2 linked regions of the Rhinolophus ferrumequinum genome follow. The protein of the gene in region 1 binds, or shares a complex with, the protein of each later gene. Links are inferred from orthologs where the notes say so. Each region holds a gene or a part of one and is shown on either strand. Other genes may lie near its edges.

Region 1 (9,670 bases):
CCCCAATCTCCTGGATTGTGCCACTGTTCATACTCACTTCCTCAGTGATAGTATCCAGGCTTTAAACACTGTCTATCAGCTAATGCCTGCCAAACACACGTGGGCAGCTCAGACTTGAGTATTCTCTCCACACTTGATTATTGAACTGCCTCCTGGACATTTCTTCTAACTGCCTAATAGACATCTCACACCCATCATGTTCAAAACTGAACTCCTGGTCTTCCTTTCAAATCCTGCTCTGCTCCACTCTTTTCAGTTCAGTTAATGGAATGGCATTTCCATCCTCCAGTTGCTTATGCTCACTTTGCATTCATTTTTGACTCCTCCATTTCTCCCACCAGCCCTTTCTAACCTGCTGGGAAATCCTACTGGCTTTACCTTCAGAATATACCTAGGACTCTCTAACGTCTCTCAATCTCAACTGCTACCAGCCCTAGTTCAAGCTTCCACTGCCTTTGGCCTGGATTGCTACAGTTAGCCTCCAAAGTGGCCTTCCCTTCCACTTTTGCTTCCCTTAGTCTACTCTCAAACCAGCCAACAAATGGATTCGTAAACCCTGCAATGGCTTTCCTGCTCACTCTGCTCCAGCTACACTGACAGACTTGCTGTTCCTTGAACATGCTAGGTAGGCACACTCCTGCCCTGGGGTCTCTGCCATGGCTTTTCCTCTGCTTGGTCAGCTATTTCCCAGATCTGCCCACGGCCCACTCCCTCACCTCTTTCAAGTCTTTGCTGAAATGCCACCTTCTCAATGAGACTTACCTTGACTACCATATTTTAAATGGCAAACCACTCAACACACCCCCAAGCGATCCTCTTACTTTACTCCACTTTTCCTAGCACAATCGCTAGTCGGTTTATTTGTTTGTTTATCCTGTCTTCTTGCAATATAGACTCCATGATTGTGGGATTTTTGTTTGTTGATGCATCCCCCAGGCTAGAATTAGTGTGGCACATGGGGACACTCAAATAAATATTTGAGGATACAAATAATTTTAACGAGTTCCCTCACATCCTTGAATGTGCATATACTCCGGTAGAAAGGCAGCATATACAAACGAAAAGATAAGTATCAATACAAGATAATTAGCATATGCTGACAAATACCAAAAGATGGTAATGTTTTAGGCTATTACATAGGACAAATGAAAGCTCGGAGGAGTGCCACAGAAGTTCAGAGAGGTAATTTTTAAATTTGGCAGGAAGGTAGTCACACCTCTTTGAAAATCTGATGAAAGCTATAGACTCCCATGATCCAATGAACATGTACACACAATTTTGAATATAATTACAAGGAGTTCAAACCCGCCCTGAAGCCAGCCATGAACTGGGAATTGAGAATTCTTGACTTTAAACATGGTTTTATCACCCAGGGCTTGGGACAGGCTTGGTGAAGATAGAACTTAAACTAATTCTTGAGGAACAGGCTATGAAAAGGAAAATAAAGGAAAGAAGGTTCTTTTCAAGCAAAAGAAAGAGCTAAGGGTGACAGCAGAACAGTTTGACTGGAATGAGGGATTTATGCAATACTTAACAGGCCAAGAACTGCTTGGTGTATAACTTAAATACGTATATGAATTTTGCAAATCACTGAAAGTGTTTGGGCAAGAGAATATATGTCTAAAGTATTGTTTCAATAAAATTAATTTGGAAGTTGTTTATAGGAGCAAAGTTGAGAGAAAAAGTGAAATTAAGGAAATCATTCATAAAGCCATTTTATAATGATTCAAGTTTGAAGAAAAGGAAAGTGAACCGATAAGGTTTAGAGAATAATGAATTTGAGGCACAAATCCAATTAGAAATGCCTGGTTTGAAACTGAAAATCAGAAATGAACTTCAGATCGGGCCCAGTTATATAAATTCAGGTGTTATTTACTGAATCTTTGAGTGTGGTGGAAAAAAAATTACAAGAGAAAAAGTATTAAGAATACAGATTATTCGGGGGACGGCCTGTGGCTCAGGCGGTTGGAGCTCCGTGCTCCTAACTCCGAAGGCTGCCGGTTCGATTCCCACATGGGCCAGTGGACTCTCAACTACAAGGTTGCCAGTTCAACTCCCGCAAGGGATGGTGGGCTATGCCCCCTGCAACTAGCAATGGCAACTGGACCTGGAGCTGAGGTTCGATTCCCACATGGGCCAGTGGACTCTCAACTACAAGGTTGCCAGTTCAACTCCCGCAAGGGATGGTGGGCTATGCCCCCTGCAACTAGCAATGGCAACTGGACCTGGAGCTGAGGTTCGATTCCCACATGGGCCAGTGGACTCTCAACTACAAGGTTGCCAGTTCAACTCCCGCAAGGGATGGTGGGCTATGCCCCCTGCAACTAGCAATGGCAACTGGACCTGGAGCTGAGCTGCGCCCTCCACAACTAAGACTGAAAGGACAACAACTTGAAGCTGAACGGCACCCTCCACAACTAAGATTGAAAGGACAACAACTTGACTTGGAAAAAAGTCCTGGAAGTACACACTGTTCCCCAATAAAAGTCCTGTTCCCCTTCCCCAATAAAATTAAAAAAAAAATAAGAGGAGAGATCAAAAGATACATAGAAACAAATGCAAATGAAAATACATCCTACCATTAAAAAAAAAAATACAGATTATTCAAAGGCTTTGGATGAGACAAAGTGAACAGCCTATTATTGTAATCACAATAAAATATGTTGAATTTATATAGAATAGAACTTTAATAGGATGCTCGAGGTATACATGTATTATGGGTAATTGAAAATTGTGGTTGAGGGCTAATAAAATTTTTTGTTTTAATTTTTGCTTGCTATTTTTTCCTCCAAAAAGTATTATTATGCTTTTTTCTTCCTTGATAACTAGGGAACGCAGCTGAATTATTTTTAGATGATTCAGGATGTCACTATCCTATAAGGTGATCATCATAAATACTATTTTCAATGTAAAATCACTATAGAAAATTGGGATAAATCCTTGGTGACCACAGAAGACATCCAGGTATTTAAAGACTTCTGATTATCTATTTGACTTTTAGGTAAATGCAGATAGCATCAAAACAATACAAAATTTAAATATTTAGGGATCTATTGAGTGGGATTTGACTCTCGCTTTTTTGCCAACGTGCACAAAGGATACAGGATGTTAGTGTCAAGTGCATTATTACATCATTGGTAGAGTTTCCACTGGCATCTACCTGCTTTGTAATACATAAGATGTTTATGATCTGGACTCTTCTTACTTTAGAACTTACCTGCTCCAGTCTTTGTGACGCTCCAGCTATGATTTGAACTTAAAGAAATAGTTCATTTTTGGTGTAACAAATGTTGGAATGCCCGCCCCAAATTCTATCAGAATGTTTCTGTCACATTAGAACCTTCCTCATTCTAGTGCAACATGCCAAGAAAACCAGGTATAAAATGACACTTGTTTAATCTTCAACACGTACACCTGTCCTTATATATCTAGACAGAGTGCAGTATATGCATACAACTATGCCCAGTAAACAATTTCGCAGATTCCACTTGAGTCTTTTTTTTTTAAATCGATGATCTCTAATTTTATTAAGGGCTCTTAATAAAAGATTGAGCAAAAGAAGTGAATCCTGCTTAGAATTCCTGCTCTGGGTCCCAAAGCCATTCTCCTCCCCAACCCCTTTTCTCTAAACACCTGGTGAAGACAGACTTAAGAAACAAGTGCTCACAACCCACTTTCCTTAAAATTAGCCAATGCTCACTATAATAGGTATTCAGATATTTAACTGCAAACACATATTCTCTCTGTGTGTATATACTGTATTCCTCTCCCTCCACCCCGCCTAAAAGAAATGGTGAAGCGCAAAACTAAGGTCTTTCGGTACCTTTTCGGAAACTGACTTAGGGAGGTGCAGAGGGGATCCAGACGATTGTGCGGGGTGTCTGAAGGGAGGCCCCGGCGGGGGGGGAGGGGAGACGGGGAACCGGCCCTCGCAGCCTCCGGATGCTCCTGCACCCTCCCGAAGGGAGAACACCGGGGCTCCGCCCTCCGCTCTCGGTACCCCACGTGCTGACTCCCTAGGGGGCAGCTGCCGAGGCGGCTCTCTTTCTTTGCTCTTCTGGGTGCCGGGGCCCCTCAGAGCAGGGCCGCAGGCAGCTGAGGAGGCCACTCACTCCGAGTTCACCTCAGCGTTCCCGACCGCGGCTTCTACCTACCAACTCGGCCCTTGCCGGGCGGCGGACACAGCCACACGACTAGCCCGCCCCCGGGCGGAGCCTGGCCTCACCTGCACCGCGGCGGGGCCGCCCCAGGCCGCGCCCAGAGGAGGAGCCTGCGGACGCCCCGCAGCGTGGAGCGCGCCAGGTGAGCACGCCTGCGCAGTCAGGCCGTAAACAAGCCCGCCCCTTCCCCTCGGCCAGCCTCCGCTGGGCCGGCTCGCGAGTGGGAGGGGCCAGGAGGAAGAGCTGGAGGGAGAGGAAGGCGCCTGCGCGGTGGGCGTGATCCGGGCACTTGGGGCAGGATGAACGCTGCTTTCCAAGATGGCGACGGAGGGAGGAGGGAAGGAGATGAACGAGATTAAGACCCAATTCACCACCCGGGAAGGTCTGTACAAGCTGCTGCCGCACTCGGAGTACAGCCGGCCCAACCGGGTACCCTTCAACTCGCAGGGATCCAACCCTGTCCGCGTCTCCTTCGTAAACCTCAACGACCAGTCTGGCAACGGCGACCGCCTCTGCTTCAATGTGGGCCGGGAGCTCTACTTCTATATCTACAAGGGGGTCCGCAAGGTACCGACCCGGGCGTCACCGGGGCCACCCAGCGGCGTGGGCAGAGGCCGGGAGCAGGGCGGTGACAGCGGGGGCCAGGTTGACCGATAGGGGTGGCCGTCGCTCTTACTTCTGAGTGGGCCGGTAACTCCACTGGGGTGCCCCTGCGGAAGGGGGATTCGGGAGTGAGCCGGCTGGTGGCGGTGGCGTTTCGAAGGTATGGGGGCGGTAGAAAGGGACCGTGGGGTGCGGGGTTCGGTCTGGGAGGCCCCGGGAGGGGCCGTCTGCCTCTCCTCTGGCAGGGTCCGTCAGGCTCTGACACGGCCAGGGAGCGGGCCTGCGAGTCCCCGGAAGAGGTGGGGTGGCCGACTAGTCTACTTAGGTTGCCTCGCCTCCCGGGAGGGTTGGGAGTCTCGCTCTGGGTTAGAGAACAGGCGGCTTGGGAAGGTCTGTAAGGCGGAACCCGGGCTGGGAAGGAGAGGACTTGAGACTAGGTCAGAAAGGACCTGCTGGGCACGAAGGGCCACTCCACCTGCTGCCGCACTGACACTTCCTAGGAGCCTCTCCTGGTGTTGACACTCTATTTACAAAAACACCCGAGGGAGGACTGCTGTCACTGTCTCTGCCGAGGGAACCTTCTGAGAGGTTGTTAAAGAGGGTCATCTTGTCCCTTCTAGTATGGGAGGGCTGATTACTACAGTTGTGAGGTCGAAAGGATGTTGTCAATGAACTAAGGTGGTTCATAAGGGTTCGGTGTGAGCGTGCCCAGATCAGTCTTGTCCAACAAGTCAGACTATGTCCCAAACAGGGAGGGCTATGCCTTAAAAGCTACTTTACCAGAACCATTCTTGGCAGGCGACTTAACAGTAATTCTGTGAAGCATGTAATCATCCTTTAAAAATAATCTCTTTAAAAGAAGCAACTTATTAGAGCTTTTCTTTCATTGGCAACATAACTTTGTTCTCATTGAGAACTGTTTTTGAGATATGCGTTCTTTGACTTGACTCTTGGAAGAGAGGAAATTAAAATGTACTCCACAGCACCTAGGCATGGGAAAAGGTGATAACAGATTTAGAAATGTTCGGTTAGTGTAAAAATAAATTGTATATACTGAAGAGTGAACATTCTCTAAGTGTTAATAGCCAGAACAGGTTGCTTTTGCTTGGTTAAAAAAACTAGGGAATGACAGTGCTATCTAAATGACAGTGGTAGCAAGTTGTCTCATTTGTTCAAGGTGAATCTTTGTTGTTAGTGTTTGTGATAAGTGTACCATTCACTGTCTTTGAAGTATGCTGTTATAAGTTACTGAAAGCACACCGCTTGGCCTTACTTTTTCTCTTTTGGAACTAGGAAAGTGAAGTCATTAGACTAGGAGCTGAAGTTTTAGTCCTACTCCCAACTTTGTCACTGACTTGCTGGGTGACCTTGGACAAGTTATTTAACTTCTTTCTGGACCTTTTAAAAGGAGAAATGCTGCAGTACGCATGCTGTGATGTATAACATAAAGACTAATGAGCTTTAAAGCCCTGAAACAGTAGATGTAAAATATAGTTAAAATAAGCAGTAAGAGTAACTGTCAAGCGGGAAGCTTCTATCTTGACATTGGTACTAGGACCGAAAGGATCAGCTTTTTCTCTGGAAATAAGTTTGGAATTTTAAGTTAATAAATTTTATTTATATAAAGATACAAAAAGTGCTTAAAAACTAAATTTACTAGTAATTACTAGTGTAGGCATCACCATTTTTTAAAAAAGTTTTCTTTGAAAGTATATTATTTCTGGAGCATTCCAGTAGCAAACCTTATCTGGATCTGGCAGCCCTGGTTTGCATCATAAAAACAGGCCCCTTGCCTGAAAGTATCACAACAGTGTTCTCCTTTAGTGGGATGCTAACAGTGAAGGGTAAAACTTAGGGGAGCCTTTCAAAACCACCAAAAAATGATTTTGAACAAGACAAAAATCTTAAACATGCAAATTTGCGTTTAGTTGTGTAATGTAGTTGAGCACTTTAATTTTTTGGTGACATTTCATTTTCATGTGGTAATATCTTGTATTAAATACATTTGTATCTTGTAGATACACATGGTGGACGTTGCAACTCTCTTCTAGCCATTGTAATTAAAACATTTTTTTCCCTATGAACGAATTGGTTTATTAGTTTTGAGTACAGATGATTGTTTTTGTGACTCTGTTTTCTGATTTTAAAACAGAGCACATAATTTTCCTTAATCAGTAACCCAAACTGACTTTTTGGAGTTAGGCATTATACAGCAGATTTTTTTTTTTTTTTTTTTTTAAGATTTTATTGGGGAGGGGGCGCAGGACTTTATTGGGGAACAGTGTGTATTTCCAGGCCTGTTTTTCCAAGTCAAGTTGTTGTCCCTTCAGTCTTAGTTGTGGAGGGTGCCGTTCAGCTTCAAGTTGTTGTCCTTTCAGTCTTAGTTGTGGAGGGCGCAGCTCAGCTCCAGGTCCAGTTGCCGTTTTCTAGTTGCAGGGGGCATAGCCCACCATCCCTTGCGAGGAATTGAACCTGCGACCTTGTGGTTGAGAGGACGCACTCCAACCAACTGAGCCATCCGGGAGCTCAGCGGCAGCTCAGCTCAAGGTGCCATGTTCAATCTTAGTTGCAGGGGGCGGAGCCCACCATCCCTTGAGGGAGTCGAGGAATCGAACTGGCAACCTTGTGGTTGAGAGCCCGTGCTCCAACCAACTGAGCCATCCGGGAGGCAGCTCAGCTCAAGGTGCTGTGTTCAATCTTAGTTGCAGGGGGCGGAGCCCACCATCCCTTGCAGGACTCGAGGAATTGAACTGGCAACCTTGTGGTTGAGAGCCCACTGGCCCATGTGAGAATCGAACCGGCAGCCTTCGGAGTTAGGAGCATGGAGCTCCAACCGCCTGAGCCACCGGGCCGGCCCCTATACATCAGTTTTTGACAGTTGGTCATTTTGACTATTTTTTTTCCGTTTTTCTTCGGGGCATATAAAGTTTTACAACAGTTTTCAGATCATTCAGAAGATCAAATTTGGATGAGTATATTCAACTTAAACCTGCATGTAAAATGAGTGAGAATAGCCTCAGAAAAAACTGAAATCATGAACTCTGTGCTGCCATTCCTGAGAGGAAGTAAGGAATCATGGGGGAGTGGAGTAGATGGGGAGGTAGCCTAACATCTAAGTCCAGGAGAGTAATCTTGGCCCTTTTAAAACATGTACAGGTCAGTTTCTAGAGCTCAAACGGACCTCAGAGGTTATGCAGTCTCACCCCCTCAGAGAAAACCAAGGCGAGAGAGCATGTGCAAACCTGTGTTGCAGCGTTTTCTCACGGAAAAATGAAGCACACCGAACCCAAAGACCTGTCTTAATAAGAAGAGACTGATCAAGTTTTTTGGTTGCACAGATGCCATATACTTCAAGTATTTCAGAATTTACGCCAGCATTCTGCGTATATTATCTCATTGAATCTTGGTGGCACTCACAATCAAAGTTTGGAATGGAGTTTCTTATGTGAGGAGATGTAATTTTATGAATTTATTTTGCTCAACTCAAGATAATGTGAACATTGATTTAATACTGGTACTAATCATTTCAACAAAGATTTGAGGGACTTATGATACTTATACTAGGCAAGGAGATACGGGGTTTCAAAAGATGAGTAAGACCCTGCTGCTCCCCAAAGGACATTCATTCAGCTGCTAACTTTCAAGCCTCTTTAGAGCATACTTTGCTTTCCTCTTTTTAAAAAGGTTGTTTTAGGATAAAGATGCCAAAGGTAGCTGGATTATTGGACTTACCTTTCATTTTGTGGAGACCTGTTTTAACATAAATGTGAATGGCCACCATTCAGATCTCAGCTGAAACATCACTTCCTCAGCAAATCCTTCGTTGAATTCCCAGGCTAGATCAGTTGTTTTCTCTATTACGTGTTCTCATAGCATCCTGTACGTTGCTTTTCTAGCACTTTTTAAACTTTGTGATTCTCTGGGTAACCGTCTCTTCTATAAACAAAGCTCCCTTAGAATAGGGACCACGTCTTTTCTGCTTTCTCTGTCTTCCTACTGCCCAGCAGTGACCAACACAGAGTAGGCCCCTACTATTTATTTGTTGAGTAAATAACTGAATAAACATCCATGTCCATCTATGTCATACTTTAAAAAGATCTTTAGAAGCTGAAAAACCTATTCAATTTGGGCCCCAAAGTAACAGTTATTTTTAGTAGCTCATATCTTTTTAAAGACATTTAAAATTATTGTTAGTAGGTTACAAATTTAGCTTTCTTGCAACTGGGAAATTATGTAGCAAGAGACAAGAAGTGATGGAAAGGAACCCAGTGGCGCAGATCACTTTTGATCTACTTCTATCCAATCGTGCTACCTACCATAGCTGCGTACCAACTAACAACTTTTTAAAACTATGTGTACTCAGAATTACTTGACATTCAAGTCAAAGAGCCTTACTCCCTCCCCCAATCTTAAGATTCTTGGCTGCAAATGTACTGCCCAGAGATGTTATTGAAGCAATTCCTACAATAGGTGAGAAGTAGAATTAGATGGCTTTCCAAGGCCTTTTCAACTCTTAAGGTTGTGTGATTCTGTGCTCAATAATTTTTAAATAAAAATAAAGTCATCTTTCTGTTGGGAAGATGTCTTCATGTCTTGGACTCGTTGCCTTCTTCTTGATTAGGAATTGAGGAGAGTGGAGTGTTTGTGAAAGCAAGTTGAACACATTGTGATTCTAGGTCTTTATGCTAGAAAAAGCTTTGTACTCACCATGCTGAGATGAAGTTGGGGCCAGAAGAAGAGTCGGTTAATACTAGCTAAAATATTTTTAGAGCCAGAGTTATCCAGGAGGGTAATGGGTTGGCCTGGGAGAGAATGAGTATTCTGTCTGGAAAATATTCTGTGTCTTTGGCAGTACAGCAGGACCACCTGTTGGCAACTGAGGAATTCATGATTTGTGTGGGAGGGCG
Region 2 (9,670 bases), on another chromosome or scaffold:
TGGGGCAAATTAAATGTAAAATTTTATCTAGGGTATAAGCTCAATTAAGGGTTTTTTTAAAAAGACAAAATATGCTCTGGAAGTTCAAAATATTTTCTTTTTGCTTTCTTAAGAGGTTCCAAACTCTGTTTTATACAGTATTTTCCAAATTTTCTATAATAAGAACGTGTAATTTTTAATGTCCAAAACGTATTCTAACCAAATTCAAAAGATCAGCAGGCTTAAATAAAAATTCATAACACTTATGCTCAATGTTCTCTACTAAGCCTCCTCAAATACGTGCTACACATTCCTTGTCAGCATTTAACCAACATTTATCCCTGATAGAAGACTCCTTATTTCTGAAGTTTTCATCCCTCTTAAATTAACACTCTCAGTAAAAACAGCAAAAATTAATAAAACAATGGCAGCTCACTTTGAATGTGCCTATCATAGAGACACTATTTGACTAATAAAGTATCAGTAAGAATCAATTACATATTTTACTTACACAAAAATTTCATCCCCCGTATTTCTTGAGATAGAACCAGGAATTTTATTACTTAACACAATATTCTGACTACTTGAAGAGGAGACTATCAAACCACCCCCCTCAACAAGGCAAGGGCTTTGAGCTGTTTGCTCCCTTACCTTTCTTTCTGGAGTGCTTTGACAGACCCACATCTAACTGGTAGTGAGTGACTGATGCCAGTGAAAAAGAAGACAAATAGCCAGCTTCACCTGTGACTTTCCTCCCATAAGTAGATGCAAGTTTACCAGGCACAGGGTGCTGTGCTAGGTACAGGCTTGTTCAGGCAAACCTGTCAGATGTCAGACCCCCCTGGCAGCTAACTTGTGGCCTTGGCCGCACTGCCACCTTGTTCTATCTCACCCTGTGACTGGGGATGGGCAAGTAGCAGCCAGGCCAGTGCCACCTATCCCTGCAACAACCTCTGCTCTGTCCTATCCCCTCCCCAAGCCACACAGTAAGAGAGTGTAATTATCACAGTGGGAGCTAGCTGACAATTAAGGAGCCCTCCTGCCGGGAGTACCGACCTCCATGCAACAGCCATGGCCCGTGTCACTGTCCGGTCCCAGACCACCAAAAACTGCTCCATAACTTCCACCTCAGTTTCAAAACATAGGCCTCTCTATACGAGTATGTTTTCGGCCACTTTTCCCATTATTTCACAATTATTAAGCATAATATTAAATATTAGGTAACTACTCTGTGCCAGGCCCTGAAGTTCGAAGCCACTTCAGAGGCAAAACAAACACTGTGCAATACTGACAATGTATTTTTTCACGGACAAATAAGAGGCATTTTTAGAGATACCTTTGCAAATGAATTCATTGCAATCTAAACAATCACTCGTTTGGGTCAGGCTAATTTAGGAAAAACAAACTTTACTAATATTCACATGTAGCAGAACAAGAGTGATCTAGAGTAACACATATCTGAAGATTTGCTGTTAACAGAAAAAGTTACCCAACCCTGGTAGTGCCACTTTGCCCAGGTACCTTACATTGCCTAATGAAAACTTTATAAACTTTATTATTTACGGAATAAAATCTCAATTCATCATAAATGTTTTCACAGCTACTGATTCTGAGAACTATCTTTAGGTGCAGCCCCTCCACCACTCCACACACATCCCAATCTCGTCCTCACTTACTGGTAGGAAAAGAGGGAGTGGGGAAACTGTTTTATTGTATGCAGAAGTTAGTGCTCCACCAAAGGGCAGAAATAAATGGTAGTCCTTCCCCTTGAGGCTTTCACAATCCAAAAAGCAAAGGAGAGAAAAATTTACAACATAGTACATACGAGGCTATTGAGATTACAAAAAGCAGTGAAATTACAAAAGGAAGACAGGACAGGGATTGCCAGGGGAAGGATTATTCAAGTAATGTCAACTGCCTGACAGTCAGGTATGAACTCACTGACAAAGGGGGAAGGGGGAAGTGTTCAAAGCCTAGCAAAATAGCATCTACAAAGGCAGAGAGCCAAATATCTTTGCTTTTCTTGATTGTCAATTTTGTAATTCTCAGGAGGTGGGTTACAGTTTTCTTTAAAGAATAACATTGCAGATTACTTTCAGATATTTGCATTACTTTAGAAACACATCAGAATTTATTCAAATATAAATATAGATGCAATTTTAACACTACTTTTGGAACAATCTCATTTGGCCAGGCACTGGTTGGTGTTTCTGTATTCGCCAACCATACACACCCACCACATGCAATGCCCCAGAGCGGAAACCCTAAAAAGAGCTTTGGAGTCTGACATTGAGATCAGAATCCCACTTACTCATGTTTCCTAATCTGATTATAGCATGCGTTATTAATCTGTTCATTTGAATACTGTCCGCCTCAACTAGAATGTAAACACCATGAAAGCAGGGACTGTCTTGATCACCGCTGCATCCCCAGCACTCAGCACTGAGTCTCTACCACTAAGTAGGTGCCAAATGTGTACCTGATATACTGTGTGAATGAATGGTTAGGAAAGAGTAGTAACACATCATTCCAGAAGTACTAGACTTTGACAATGAACTATGACCTGACAATCCGTGTAGCTCAGCAATCTGGCAAGATTATCACTTTCAAAGACTTAATTATCACATTCCTTTTGAAATATGGTAAGATAATCACCAGCATATCTAAAAATAATTAATCCAAATGACCCTCAGAAATCCTTTCAATACAGTTCCTTTAATATCAGTGCTTCCTAAAATATAAATTGTGAAGGGAAAAAAATCTATTTCAGAAAACGCATTCTCCAATGATTCATGCAATGTGATTTCTTTAATCCTGCAGATTTTAACCCCACCTGATTTCGGCCATTTTTTACACTGTTCATCAACATCTAAAGCAGTGTAGAATCTGCTTCTAGAGTACCTTTTGGATCTGACTCACCACTCCTTTAAAAAAGATACATAAAAATGCCTCACCCTTCAATGGAAGACTGTTTGGGGACCTCCTATAGACAGAAGGAAAGATTTCAGAAGTCTTCAGTAACATGATCACCAGGCCCACGTTGCAAAGAATAACTTTTTCTGCAACGGCTCCTAATTATGATCCCTAGATGTAGCCTCACAGAACTAATGAAACGAATTTGCCCCATCGTGTGGAAAATTGTGCTTCTGCCTAAGCACAAAAACACCGAGATTTACACGCACCCACGTTTTGCTTCATTCGGGACTTTTCCACAGGCATTAGCACTTCGCTGTCAGAGTCTATTTAAAAACTCCGATAAAACACACACAATAACGCTCGCAGTCAGTCCCTGCACAGAACTACTTCGAGCCACACACAGATGTGCCCGGTGTATCAAGTAAACAAATGACAGGAAAGCTTAAGCTGTTTTCAATATTATCGTGGATTCCCAAAGACAAGACTGCCACCTGGACACACGGTTGGAAAAAGGAGAGCTCGTCGCTCTCAGAGTAGAAATGGGGAAATTTTCCACAGCACTTATTTAAAGTTTCCACCTTCATACACACCCCCTTCTCCAGAGCACCGGGTGGGGGACTCGGCCTCGCCCGCGCCGCGGGAAGGAAATCTGCACTTGACTTCCGTCCTTTCTCCCGCAGGAACGAGACCCTGCCTTCCTGCCGGCGGACCCCCACCCGCGCCCAGGGCCACCTCCCCGCTCCGCGCACCGCCAGACGGAAACGGCGCGCGCCGCTCCGCGTCCTTCCACCTCCGACCCCAGCCGGGACCGCGCTCCAGCTCGCGCGCCCACAGCCCGGCGCTCCCCGCCGCTCGGCCCCGGCGCCGCGGGAAGACTTCAGCAGTTGAGCGCCGGGGCGCTGGAGACCAGTGCCCGCTCCCCGCTACGTCCAGCACCGGTGTCCCCTCGCTGGTCACCCTCGAGCCGCCCAGGCTCGCCCGCCGCCTCCCCCTCCCGGGGGGCCGCTAATACCCGCGCCCCCTGCCCGCCGGAGTCCAACCGCCCCCGCCCGCCTGCCGCCTCACGACCCGGCTCCGCGGACCACCCGGGTGAGTGGCGGGGACCAGGGCCGCACCGCCCGCCCGCCCCAGGGATCCCGGGTCGCCCCGGCTGCCCTCCCGCCGCACCTACCATGGTACAGATGGAGGCGAATTTGGAGACTGTCATTAGGATTTCCATCCGCCCAGCGCCATCTTCCACCCAATCACAGTGGCGGCGGCGGCGGCAGCGGGCGGGGGAGGAAGGGAGCCCGGCCGCCCGCTCACACTACGGCCCGCGGGCGGACCCCGAGCCGCCGCGGACCCACGCACGGAGCCTGCTCTGCCGCCGCTGCCGTCGTCGCCGCGGGCGCTCCGGCACTCCCCGCCTCGGGCCCCAGCCCCCGCCTGCCGGCCGCCCGCCCCCGGCTCCTCCCCGGCGCAGGGCGCAGCCGCTGCCTCCGGGCCCGCGCCTGCCAGCGAAGCCACCCGCCGCACACCCCGCCCAGCGCGCTGAGGAGCGGGCTCCGCTGAGGCCCTAATGCCCGGTCTGCCCCGCAGCTGCGCTGCCCAGCGGCGCGCCCCCCCCACCCGCCGCGTACGGGGACCGCCCCACGCGGAACCCCGCCCACTCCGCGCGCCAGGACCGCCCTGCGCGCGGCCCCGCCCACTCCCCCGGCGCACGACTCTCCCGCCTGAGGTGCGCCTGCGGGGGACTCTGGAGCCGGCCCCGCCCGGCTCTCGGCCAGGCACCGCCTCCTGCCCGCGTCGCGGTCCTAGAGCCTGCGCGGCAGCCCTAACCCTGGCTGGGAGGAGCTACCCGGGGAGGTGCGGGTCGCCTCGGAGGCCACCTGTGTAAATCCTGGAAGGGGCTGATCGCAGGCTCCAACAAGGGCGACCCGACAGGTATTCCGCACTGCTGAAACAAATAACGGGGGCGGTGATCTGGTAATTCTGAGTGGGATGGGAGGAAACTTGCTTCTGCACAGTTAAAATAACCCAGGAAACCCAACGTCCCAAGCACTTACCAGTGGTTTGTATCTTTTTATATTAATATATAGTAGGTGAATTACCGGGGTCAAAATCCCCTAACTTATGGGTCAAAAATCCCTAACTTAGCAAGACTAAATAGAAAATGAAAGAGGCAAGCAAAGAAGAAACTATGTTTAGCTCTTTGAATGAAGAAGAAAGGTAAGTAATGGGAGGGGGGGTGGAGGGTGGAGGGCAAAGCTGCCTCTTTGCCTGCCTGTTGGCCATAAATTTAGAGTATGTTTATAAATATAGTTTCTAAATATATTCATTCAGAAAATTGAGTTGCAAAATAGGGAAGATCTCAACCCAGCAGTGATAATGATGTTACCGAGACATGAAGTCTAGCAAGTGAGAAAAATGCCCGGTGAGAAATATTTAAGTAGCGTTAGCTAGTGGTATAGTTCCTCTTTTCTACTTTCATAAAATTGATCATTGCACCCTTTTCTTCGTATCAAGCAACTCAGCTTTATTTCTTCCTATTTGAGAAAGTAGTTCAAGTTAATAGAATAACTTTATAAATTAGAAAGCTTGTGATATTTTTCGATTGGTGAAATACAGTGATGGGGTGCTTTTCTGGGTTCCCCCATTTCAGTGGGGCTGAGCTTCTGATAGAATTGAATTCAGACAAACTTCTAAAATCAGATATGCTTTACCTCATTCAAAAAAGCATTCAAAGAACAAAACAAAACATTCGAACAAAAATCTAGGTGAAAAATAGATTTCTGATGCATGAATAGTGTTTCCATAGTGATTTCCATTATAAGCTTGCTTGGGGGGAAAATGCAAATAGAACATAGCTCAATCCCATAGTAGCTGGCCTGGTTCTCCAGGCACCTGCCTCCATGGACGCTGGGGCACTCCCTCTTTGCCTGATACCCAAAGCCAGTGACGAGGACCTTGTTTGTCACTCCAGGCATTCAGGTATGCGGCTGTTTCCTGCCTAGACTTGGAAGTCTGTCTTGTGTTCCATCCTGCTTAGGCCTCCAGGACCTGCCTGGGCCTCCCCCCAGTGTCACCATGCCCTGGGACCCTGTCTCGCCTATTTGGATAAATGTCTATTGTCCTCCCTACTTGTTCCAGCAAACAGGTCTAAAGTGCCAGAATTTGAGCCCCCGCCTCCCTCTACGCTGCCCACTACCATGCCTCCATGTTCGTGAATCCTAAAATGTCACAGGAACAGAGGCCACCAGCTTTATACATAAGCTTCTGATAGAATTATCTGGAGTGGTGCTTAGTTGATGTTACAGCCATCTATATTTGCAGGAGATACCATAACACCTAACTGCAGAACCTCACAGTGCCTTGTCTCTCCAGCCTAAGGTTAATGGGAGAGGCACAAACAGAGAGTCTTTTGTGTGCTGGGCTTTCCTTGGGTGTTTTCACCATTACATTACCATATGTAATGCAGTTGAAGGTAAGATTTGGCTGAAACGCCACACTTTGGCACCCAGAGCTTGGAGACGGTCATCTGGGCTTAGAACACAGGTTTTACCTGCAGCTATATAAGTTTTACAGAGAGCTTCATTGTGTCTAGAGAAAGATGAGCTTGTATACAAACGATTTCTTTTGGTCCTTCCTGAGAGTGTAAGCTACAAAATAGACCCAGATAACCTCAGGGATCAAGCAAGTAAACAAACTAGAGACCAGCTTAATCCATTTGGTCAGCACATTTTTAAAAATTGTTTCATTTGAATACTTTTACACAACCCTCTGCTGTCCAGTTCCTTGCAAACCACCAAATATTTCTGTTACTCATCCTGTCTCCCCGCTAACCACATGTCGCTTCATATATTTCGCCATCTCTCTTCTGCCTGACGGTGCTAACATACATGACATGCTGCCTGTGATGGAGTGGGGAAGGAAGTGGTGGGAGAGGGTAGAGAGAGTGTGTAAGGCACCCATAATGACAGGCAGTGCTTATCTTTACACCTAGCATTTTATCAAATCTTCATAACAACACAGGGAAGTAGATGCTGTTATTATCGTCATCCCCATTTTCTAGATAAGGAAACTAAGGCACAGAGATACCTTTCCCAAGTGAGTGGGAGCACAATATGCCATCCCCAAATATACCACTTTGGCATATTGATTATTTTGAATTAAAGTTACTTGCAGCCAGTCCAAGAAAGATACCCTGAGCCCCCTGAGTCCTTGAAAGCAGGAGATACATCTCCCATGTGCAAGGTCTCCCGGTACCAGGACGTAGAGAGACACCCTTATCACCAGACATGGGAACTCAAGGCCAGAATGCTACATAAACAAAACTTGGTACTTCTCCACTCAACAGCTACCCCAAGCCCAAACCCGTTTGTTTTGTCAATTCTTCACACGTATTTTTCTTTGTCTAAAAAAGGTGTATAAACTGCCTGCTTTGGTCACTTCTTTGAGTCTCATATTTCTATGAGCTCCTCTACGTACAAATTAAATTGTTTTTCCTCCTGTTAATCTGGCTTATGTCAATTTATTAGACCAGCCAAAGAACCTAGAAGGGAAGAAGGGAAAAGTTTTCTTCTCCTGCACAAGATGACACAACTCGTGGGAGAACTGAACCTGGCTCCAGAGGCCACACTTGTATCAGCTCTGCTACGCCAGCTCATGTGATGCTAGTAGAATAAGCGTGAGAGACACTGACTCCTTTGGGACTGGTGTGAAGGTTTTAGCTACAAAATATACTCAAATAGATATTTCTTTGTCTCGCTTTCCTCATCTAGAAAATAAGAGTAACGATTATGGCCACCTCCGAGGATAAAGCATGGAGCATGTTTAGAATAGGGCCTGGCCCGCAGCACAAACTGGAGAGCTCTGAATGGCCATTCAGAGTCAACATTTTAAAAGTCAAGGGGGGCAAATACAGCCCCTCAGGCTGCCAGATTACTCCCTCAGACGTAATGAGGCTCTGCTATATGCCAGGCACCTAATTAGTACTTAAGATGCATTTTCTAATGTAACCCCTCCAACGCCCTTGAGCTCAATCACTTCCTGCTCCTTTTAGCACAGTCACCACGGTGCAGCCCAGCCAGGGCAGAACGGGGGTCCACTCCCAGACACTCTGACTTGAAAATGCCGGATCTCTCCCCTGCTCTACCCTCCCCATTCACAGTTGAATGAATCAGCTTTCTAGGTGACATACATGAACATCATCCAGCTGTCCAAAGGTAGATGTTAATCAAAACAGTGATGTTCTTTTGTTGTTTGAATCAACAAACCAGCCACTTACTTTTCAAAGCTGACTTCTAATCAGATGAGCAAAGCTGAGTCATCTGCATAATGGATATGTGACTGATTTGCTGGGCAGGATGGCATATAGCGGATATACCCCAAAACTGTCATTACTGAAATCTAGGCTTAAAAGAAAAGGGCCGAAGACACAGCCCTGTTAAACTCTATTTAAAACTGAAATGTGAATTCATTCATTAAAACAAATACGTGTTGATCATCTTCTGATGAATAAGAGAAATTTTCACCCTCAAGAAGCGCACAGCCCATTGTGGTGAACAGATAATTTTTATGGAAAAGGAGCTGAGAAAATGAACCAAGTGCTGTCAGCTCCCAGGGGGGTGGGATTAGCTCAGTCTACAGGAGGGATAAACTGAGGTCAACTTCGAATCAGGAAGAATGGGATGAACAGTGTGTGGGGGTTGGGGCGGGTAGGCAGTGGTCTTCCAAGCAGAGGACAAGTTGTGTGCAGGGACCTTGAAAGAGTGTGGGATGTGCCTCAGGCTGTGACATGGGGTGTGTTGCAGGGGGTTTGTAGACATGGGTGGAATGTTAAGGGGACGAGCTGACCCACAGTGCCACCAGCAAAGCTTATGGTCTCTGGGATCTCTACTGTCATATCCATCGACAATAACTGGTACAATCAGCCTACTTTAAACCCTCTTCCTGCTTCATAATATCAGTTTAGATTCCCAGTCCTGCAATTTGTTGCCACTAAACATGGCAGAGAATTTCAAGAAGACATAAAACAAACAGGTCTGTAACTGGGGAGAAAACCTTGACTTCTGGTGAGTACAGAAGTAAACCAGAGTATCTTCTTTGTGTACTTAGCTCCTCATTAAGCAGGGCCTGACTGGAGGCGACTACCCAGACGCTGGGAAGGATGATGCAAGCTTTCTAGCTGTTTAGAGAAAGTTCAGAAGTTCCTGAGCTTAATTTGAGGAGACACCGTTCCCAATGCTTTCATGATCCACCCCTTTTGTCTGTGAAAAGAGGACAGAGAGATACAGCCACAAAGTGTAGAACACACGCTGACAACCTCGCATACACACATGATCCATTCTGGTCACGCAATCATTCAGAAATGTATATGTGGCTTGCATGTTTTGAGTCAATACATACCTGTTGAGTACCTCCTACTGGTGAAGGATTATGGTAGACACGTAAGGAGCAAGAGTCCTGCCTTCAGAAAGTCTGCCCTCTGATTGAGAAGATGTGTACACAGACAACTTTAAATTAGACAAGTGCCCATTATGTGATTTACACGATTATAAGGGTTCAGAGGAAAGAGTGATTGTTTCTTCGTTAGGTATCAAATATGCTACCACATACTAGAAGGTCACCTGACCCAAAGGGAAAGCTGGAAAGTCTTAAAGAGTAACAGAATTATATCTTTTAAGAACAGATATATCTGTTGTCTCCTCTCCCTCCTCTTCCTCCTTCCTGTCTTTTCTGCTTCATCACGTCCTCTTCCCCCTTCATCGATTATGTTCCTATCACACTTGCCTCC

The links.
Region 2: the proteins of WDR20 (region 1) and USP12 are in contact, whole or in part, in a crystal structure (PDB 5K1C), measured with the Homo sapiens proteins. The link is inferred for Rhinolophus ferrumequinum from reciprocal best matches to the Homo sapiens genes WDR20 and USP12. Residues at the interface, in NP_653175.2 of Homo sapiens: Asn41, Ser42, Gly44, Ser45, Arg151, Ser170, Lys259, Ser260, Tyr261, Phe262, Gly263, Glu282, Asp283, Asp284, Leu285, His301, Lys304, Ser305, Trp306, Gln374, Asp375, Thr376, Arg516, Met517, His533, Glu534, Arg535; in NP_872294.2 of Homo sapiens: Glu207, Asn209, Thr210, Ser211, Thr213, His214, Arg217, Arg277, Val279, Phe280, Pro281, Leu282, Glu283, Leu284, Arg285, Phe287, Asp297, Met299, Gln342, Glu345, Tyr348, Thr351, Ser352.

The regions. Positions count from the first base shown.
Region 1 is NC_046289.1:2,663,434-2,673,103, reverse strand, and holds the start of WDR20 (WD repeat-containing protein 20), read left to right. Parts: upstream 1-4,370; 5' UTR 4,371-4,478; coding exon 4,479-4,727; intron 4,728-7,919; coding exon of another isoform or gene 7,920-7,931; exon of another isoform or gene 7,932-9,540; intron 9,541-9,670. UniProt on the Homo sapiens protein: Regulator of deubiquitinating complexes. Activates deubiquitinating activity of complexes containing USP12. Anchors at the base of the ubiquitin-contacting loop of USP12 and remotely modulates the catalytic center of the enzyme.
Region 2 is NC_046287.1:99,320,754-99,330,423, forward strand, and holds the start of USP12 (ubiquitin carboxyl-terminal hydrolase 12), read right to left. Parts: upstream 4,373-9,670; 5' UTR 4,115-4,372; coding exon 4,067-4,114; intron 1-4,066. UniProt on the Homo sapiens protein: Deubiquitinating enzyme that plays various roles in the regulation of the immune response and inflammation.